2 linked regions of the Ovis aries genome follow. The protein of the gene in region 1 interacts with the protein of each later gene in a pairwise test. Links are inferred from orthologs where the notes say so. Each region holds a gene or a part of one and is shown on either strand. Other genes may lie near its edges.

Evidence for each region. The genes of interacting proteins can lie anywhere in the genome.
Region 2: the proteins of RIN1 (region 1) and RRAS2 interact in binary tests that used the Homo sapiens proteins (3 or more experiments, as listed by UniProt). The link is inferred for Ovis aries from reciprocal best matches to the Homo sapiens genes RIN1 and RRAS2.

Annotation. Positions count from the first base shown.
Region 1 is NC_056074.1:40,814,689-40,818,729, forward strand, and holds the start of RIN1 (ras and Rab interactor 1), read right to left. Parts: upstream 2,814-4,041; 5' UTR 2,772-2,813; coding exon 2,686-2,771; intron 2,542-2,685; coding exon 2,361-2,541; intron 2,264-2,360; coding exon 2,149-2,263; intron 2,050-2,148; coding exon 1,977-2,049; intron 1,832-1,976; coding exon 1,740-1,831; intron 1,575-1,739; coding exon 828-1,574; intron 555-827; coding exon 249-554; intron 1-248. UniProt on the Homo sapiens protein: Ras effector protein, which may serve as an inhibitory modulator of neuronal plasticity in aversive memory formation. Can affect Ras signaling at different levels. First, by competing with RAF1 protein for binding to activated Ras.
Region 2 is NC_056068.1:38,175,450-38,178,966, forward strand, and holds part of RRAS2 (ras-related protein R-Ras2), read left to right. Parts: intron 1-2,189; coding exon 2,190-2,277; intron 2,278-3,183; coding exon 3,184-3,286; intron 3,287-3,457; coding exon 3,458-3,517. UniProt on the Homo sapiens protein: GTP-binding protein with GTPase activity, involved in the regulation of MAPK signaling pathway and thereby controlling multiple cellular processes. Regulates craniofacial development.

The sequences.
Region 1 (4,041 bases):
CACAGGGTCAGGATCCTCAGCTACTTATCTTAGACAACGACCCTCCCTCTGCCTGCCAGGCAACCAGGGGCAATGGATGGGGAGTGGATGCTCTGCTTTCTGGGCCACAGTATTACCATCTATGAAATGGGGAGGTGGATCCACATACATATATGTATTTTTTTTCCTTTGTTTTCCCTGCTGTGCCATTCCTAGGGCCTCAGCCCGGTGGCCTCTGACTTGGCAGTGGCCGGTGGGAGGGGGCATACCCGCCTGGGTCCTCAGGGCTGTGTAGAGCAGCTTGCAGGCCTGCAGGAGCCGCTTGACCTGGGCGCTGGGTGAGTAGGCGCGAAGCAGCTGTAGCAGCTTCTGACGTACCTGCTCCATCTCTACTGGGGAGGGCAGGCTTAAGTGGGACCCGAAGGCGCTGGCGCCCCGGGCCCGGGCCAGGCGGAGGCCTTCAGCCAGGCGGCCCAGGGAGCTGTTGGCTGAAAGCCGGCGCCGCAGGCGGGCCACCAGGATGGGCCGCAGCGGCTTGAGCACTGAGCGGTGCAGCGACTTCTCCAGGACGTGCTCTGTGGGGGAGAGGCAGGCAACGGTCAGAGGAACCGGGGTGGCGTGGGGGTCCCGGGGAGGAAGCGCATGCTCAGGAGGGGAGAGGGATGAAAACGAGGAGGAATCATTGTGACTGGGAGAGAGGCGGTGGGTAGAAGTTGCTTGAATGATGCAGAGACAAGGTGGGTGTACATGGAAGAACAGGCTGAGAAAGGCCAGCCCTGAGAGGCAGAGAGAGAGGAAGGCAGAAAAGCTGAATTCTGGAGACAGTGGACCCCATGCTGGAGTCTCACCCAGCCTGTCTGGTGGCAGCAGCTTCTCCGGGCTCAGCTCCGCGCTCAGCATGGCTCGGGCCCGGCTCAGGGCCTCGCGGACGGCCTGCAGCTCCCGGGGTTCGGGGCCGGCACGCACCTGGGTCAGCAGGTCCTGCACCAGCTGTCCCACGGCCGTGTGTCTGTCCTGTGTCAGCGCCGCAGCTGCCCGGCCCACCTGCCGCTCAGGCGCTAGCAGGGAGCAGAAGGCAGCGCTCATGGACCGAAGCAGGGGTCGCCGCCGCCGCTGGTGGCCCAGGTGGGGTGAGGTCGCTGGGCTCCCCTGGGACCCCGGCACCCCCTCCTCCTCTGAGCTGCTGGGGGAGGCGCAGTCCACCTCCTGGAGGGAGGGCAGCGGCGGGAGGCTGGGGCTGGTGCCCCCTGGCACCCGGTACCCTACCGAGCTCTCCCTCCGTAGCAGCTGGCGAGGGGGCAACCTTTCTGTCTGGTTGGGGGCTGTCCCTGGCAACACCGGAACTGGGGGAGGCGGCACAGCTGGGGGAGACAGGGGGCTGGAGGTCTCCGTGGACACACGCACTTTGAAGCTCCTCTTGAATATCTCCCTCTTGGTGGGGCCCAGATCCCCTGGGAACAGGGGGTTGAAGAAACACAGGGCAGCTCTGGTGCCCTGGTCCAGCTCTTGTGGGGGCCGGGGCTTCAGCCGGGGCAGTGGGGGGCCTTCCGATGGGCCTAGCTGAGCCTTGGTGTTGAGGGAGGAGCTCCAGAACTCTAGGGAAGAGAAACAGGTTGGGCCTCAGGGTGGGGGTGGGGAGGCTCAGGGAGGGGACCCAACTGGGAGAAAGGCCCAGGCTTCAGGCTGTGTGCCTTCACCTTCCCTCTCCCTCTTGGCCTCAGCTTGTCCATCTGTGCAGTGGGTAGCCCGGGAGCCCTTACCCATGCCCAGATGGGAGATGGCTTCCAGCTCCTTGTGGGTGGCTGCCTGGCGGATGGCTCTGGGGAGCTGAAGCGGGAGGAGAAGAATGTCCCTGAGGCCAGAGGGGAGCAAAAAGTGGGCAGTGAGGAAAGCTCTGGGTGGCGGGCACCGGGAGTGCCCGTGGGCAAGGAGGACAAGGTGTCCCAGGAAGGGAACCAGGGCCCTGTGGAGAGCAGGCGCCCTGCAGGCAGGCTCACCGGGTGTGGCAGTAGGCACAGATCAGCTGAACCAGGTCTAGGAACACAAGGTCTGAGCCCTCCAGGGAGACGCCTGAGGGATGGGAAGTGAGGTTGTTCTCTGGGAGCACCCCCCTGCGCCCCGACCTGATGCTTCCAGCCCCTCCCGCCCGGCCGGGCCAGTCCCTCTCACCCCGAGCGGTCTCCTGGATACAGTGGCTGGAGACGAAGGAGGGGCCACTGGCCTCGGGCAGCCGCACGCACAGGGCTTGGCACTGGCGACTGTTAGACTTCCGTACCAGAAATGTCTGCGAGTGGACAGGGATCAGAGGCTTGGGTCCTCTGTGTCCAGCCCCTCGCCCCCCTACCCTCAGCCTCCAGCCCCAGGGGTGGGGAGAGACTCACCCCGGGGGGCTCGGTCCTCAGCACGTGCAGCGCGGCAGCCTCGTTGGCCCGCAGCTGCAGCCACACGGGCCGGGTGAGCAGCAGGCGCTCCCGCAGGCTCACGGTGCGCCCTGGCCGCTGCGATCCACCTGCCTGCACCCCGCTGGCACCAGGCACATCGTACCGCGGGTCCTGGGCTGGCCTGGCCGGGGTGCGGGGTGGAGGCACCAGACCTGAGCAGGGATTTGCCCAACCGTCTCCCCCTCCTTGGCCCTGGGACAGACCCAGCTCGGGTTCCCCACCTTCCACCCCACCCCACCGGGGCTGCCCTTCCAACTTCACTAACTTTTCTCTCTCCAGGTGCCCAGAAGCGAAGCTGGCTGGGTAGGGGGCTCCGAGGGGGCCTGTTCTTGGCTCCCCAGGGGTTTCCATGGCTGGGAGCTCCTCCAGTCTCTCCCGGGACTCAGAGAAGCCAGCCCCCAAGGCGGGAGCACTCACATTCCCAATGGTGAGTAACACTTCCTGAGGGCGGTTCGCCCTGTCACACCCGCCAGTTAACTCTTGTGTGTCCACTCAGCCCGGGCAGTGTCTGCTTCCTCTGCTCTGGGCCCAGCCTCTGGGGGCAGGGATCCACTCCATGCAGGTGGCCTGCCCAGGGTTCCAGCTGTGGGGCTGCCACCTCCACACGGCGCTTCCTGCAGCCTTGCCAGACTCCTCGAACCGCACAGATGGGCAAGAAGGGGTTAAGCAGGGCCCGCCAAGGTCTCCACGGGCCTCGCCCTTGGGGCACCTTCAAGTCTGTGGTCAACTGCTCATCTGTCCCTGGCCCTAAGGTCAGCCTTTTGGGAGAGTGCCCCCTACTGGCCACAGATGACTCATGCCTGAGCTTAACTTGGTTTTGGGGATTTCAGGTTGCCATGGAGAAAGGATGCTGTGTCTCCATGGAAACTAACCCCTTTGCTTAGTGGAGGTTCTGGGGGTGGTTCTGACACTCAGCGCTGAACAGGGGGGTAGTCTGGCTGTGAGGTCGTCAGCACATGGTGCTGCTGCTGGCTGCCTCCCACGCACACAGGATCTGCCAGCCTGCCTTGCCGATCTGCCGAGACTGGGGCAGGTGCAGACATGATCCAGTCTCTAGGCACGGAGCACCCAGGCCACGTGCTCGGTTTGTGCCACAAGTTGCCTCAGACTTTGCTCACCAGCACCAGGCAGTCCAGGGCCCAGCCCCCCACACCTGGAGCAGATGTGTGGGGGAATGCCCCCTTCCCCAGCCTATACCCCAAGTCAGAGGGGGTAGGCTCCGCTCACTGGAGGAGATACCACGGCCCCCAGCAGAGACTGCCTGTCTCAAGCACTCTCCACAAGAGCCCTGATTCCCTTGCAAGGTAAATTAGACACATGCATGTTGTGCCAGAGTCCCAGGAAAGGTTTTAATTCCAGTCCCTGAAATGTGGGAGGCAGACACCAGGAACCTCCTTGAAAAGGAAGACCCGAGGAGCCTGCCTTGTCACTCCAGCAACAGCCAGGACACACAGGCCCCCCAAATATAATTTCTGGCTCAGAGTTTCTGCGAAGTGGGACCCAACTCAGTGATTGGGGTCCAAGGTCCAAAGAAAGGATGTTGCTTTGGCTTAAGACAGGCATGTCTTCATCAGGGAGGGCTCCAAGGAGGGCGACCTTTTGGCGGGGGGGCGTGGTGGGC
Region 2 (3,517 bases), on another chromosome or scaffold:
TTTGGCACATTAAGGGATAACTTGGGAGTCGTCATTGAAGCTTAGGTTTTACAAGATGAAAGCATGGCAGGAAGTGTCAGGTTACTATGGAGAAACATGTTTCAGGAAACTTAAGGTTTAAATACTGTGCTTTATCCAGGTTGTTTAGTGAAAGACTGCTTTCTGTGTTGTTTAGAATAGTGGGTACAAAGAATATTGTATTTACTTTTAGAAGAGGTGTGGGTTCCAGAGAGTCAGTTCAAAGATTGTTTTGATATCTGTTTATTTTAAAATGGGAATGGGGTGGTGATGGAAATGGCTTTCTACTCAAAGCCCCTCCTGTTGGTAATTTAAAAAAAAAAATCAGTTCAGTTCAGTCGTACAGTCATATCCGACTGTTTGCGACCCTGTGGATTGCAGCATGCCAGGCTACCCTATCCATCACCAACCCCCAGAGCTTACTCAAACTCCTGTCCATTGAGTTGGTGATACCATCCAACCATCTCATCCTCTGTTGTCCTCCTTTCCCTCCCACCTTCAATCTTGCCCAGCACCAGGGTCTTTTCAAATGAGTCAGTTCTTGTATCAGGTGGCCAAAGTATTGGAGTTTCAGCTTCAGCATCAGTCCTTCCAATGAATATTCAGGACTGATTTCCTTTAGGATGGGCTGGTTGGATCTTCTTGCAGTCCAAGGGACTCTCAAGAGTCTTCTCCAACACCACAGTTCAAAAGCATCAATTCTTCAGCTTTCTTTGTAGTCCAACTCTCACATCCATACATGACTACCGGAAAAACCAAAGCTTTGACTAGATGTACCTTAGTTGGTAAAGTAATGTCTCTGCTTTTAAATATGCTATCTAGGTTGGTCATAGCTTTTCTTCCAAGGAGTAAGCATCTTTTAATTTCATGGCTGCAGTCACCATCTGCAGTGATTTTGGAACGCAAGAAAATAAAGTCTCTCACTGTTGCTATTGTTTCCCCATCTATTTCCCAGGAAGTGATGGGACAAGATGCCATGATCTTAGTGTTCTGAATGTTGAATTTTAAGCCAACTTTTTCCACTCTCCTCTTTCACTTTCATCAAGAGACTTTTTAGTTCTTTGCTTTCTGCCATAAGAGTGGTGTCATCTGCATGTGTGAGGTTATTGATATTTCTCTTGGCAGTCTTGATTCCAGCTTATGCTTCTTCCAGCCCAGCGTTTCTCATGATGTACTCTGCATATAAGTTAAATGAGCAGGGTGACAATAAACAGCCTTGGCATACTCCTTTCCCAATTTGGAGCCAGTCTGTTGTTCCATGTCCAGTTCTAACTGTTGCTTCCTGACCTGCATACAGATTTCTCAGGAGGCAGGTCAGGTGGTCTGGTATTCCCATGTTATTAATAATTTTCCACAGTTTATTGTGATCCACAGAGTCAAAGGCTTTGGTGTAGTCAATAAAGCAGAAGAAGATGTTTTCTGGAACTCTCTTGCTTTTTTGATGATCCAACTGATGTTGGCAATTTGATCATTTAAATGAAGCCACCAAAAGGGAAATAGAATTATGGCTTAATTCTATATAACTAAAGTTACTCCAAAAATACAAATAAAAAATAGGGAGTATCATTCAAAATTAAAATAAATATGTAAAGTCAGGGTAGCAAGCAGATTAGTCCCTGCCCCCTCCCTCTCCGCCCCCATACGAGGAGTTTCTTTTAAAAAAAATCCTGAAATCATGACCTTTAGGGTAATACACAGGGCAACTGAAAGGGAACTAAGACAAGGTGTGAGAAAAGTGAAGAGACGATGAGGCATTGAGGCAGGCAGACTTCGTGTTGTCTCTTTTGTTCCAAAACGGTTACAGTTTGTTCTAAGGACTGATGCCTGCCTTTGGGTTGGAGATAGACCTGAATTACAGCTATAGGTGTGTTTCTAGTTTTCCTAGAACTTGAGATGTAGAGTTTTAGGTGTATATAAGTTAATTATGAAAAATGGAAAAAAACTGTAGTAGAGCTTTTACAATCTTCTTACATGTTTCAGATGCGAAAATTCAGAAATGTTTAGAACCCTTTCTCCACTTGGAAGCTGCTGTGAATAGATTTCATTCAATAGGGAATTGACATAGTAGGATACACTTTAATACAGTGAAAATATTTTGAGTTCTGGGTAACGTTATGTTGGTACTTGGGCAAGTAAGCATAAATTTTAAAATTATGGTATTTTTCTTACAGTCTTATTTTGTAACGGATTATGATCCAACCATCGAGGATTCCTACACAAAGCAGTGCGTGATAGATGACCGGGCGGCCCGTCTAGACAGTAAGTAACGTTCCTTTATTTGATGGTTTACGTATCATATTTTTTTAAGTAAGCTTTGAAGTTTTGCTAGGTTAAATAACTGCAGTTGAAATGTTAGATGATCTTGAATATAAGTTCATCTTTTTCATTAGTTTTAATCAATGAATCTACACGTTGGGCAATTTAAATGTAATATAAAACAGTAACTGGATTGAGAGCAGGTAAAATTAGTCATGTCACTGTAACTTGTTAGAGTTGTGTTTATTGGGACATTTGGAAAAAAAACAAACGAGGTTTTCGCTCTTCCTGCATTTTGATGAAGGCCCAAATGGGTGAGGTAAATATAGAAAAGCTTCAATATTTGCTAACTTGCTTAGAGTTTATAGCACAGAGGCCTTAGCAAATAGTGTTTTGTGCTTGGCTAAACATTCCACTCCTCCACAAGAGAAAGGGCTGTTCTTTTAACTTGTATGATTCTTCTCTTCACAGAGATCAATGAATACCTTAGCACCTGTACATTCAGTATGGCATTTGCGGGGGTGGGGTGCACCAGCATTTCCTTCTTGAATTTACAAGTATCTTTTTCAGTTCTTTTCACAGAGGAGGTAAATATCCAAGTGACTGTAGAGGTTATCTGAGACTGTCTGCCTATATGGATTTGATATTTTTAACCTTGTCATTGCTATGCTAATGTATTCTAACTACGAAATCAACCTGCACTGATGAAGATAACTCTGCGACTGTCTGCCATTAGAATACATTTGTCTTTAGCATTGAAAATAAAGTACTAAAAGGGGAATGCTGTTTAAAAAATACCAAGTGTGATGTTTTCCAAAGGATTCACATTAACTGGGCCTGCCCATGTGAGGGAGCCATTTTTGTGAGATGAACACGTGAACATCATTACATTTCTTGTTTTTTCTTTAGTTCTGGATACAGCGGGACAAGAGGAATTTGGAGCTATGAGAGAACAGTATATGAGAACTGGCGAGGGTTTCCTTTTGGTCTTTTCAGTCACAGATAGAGGCAGGTTTGTATCAGTATTTAACTGTAGATCTCTCCTGTTCATGTCTAGATCACTGTTCATTAAATTTGCATTCTTGTTTGTATAGGAAAAGGAAAAGTAAGAAAGCACTAAATGGGGCAGGGGAGTCTGAATTCTGATACTTGACCAAATTAATGAATTTGTTTTTGTTTTTAGTTTTGAAGAAATCTATAAGTTTCAAAGACAGATTCTCAGAGTAAAGGATCGTGATGAGTT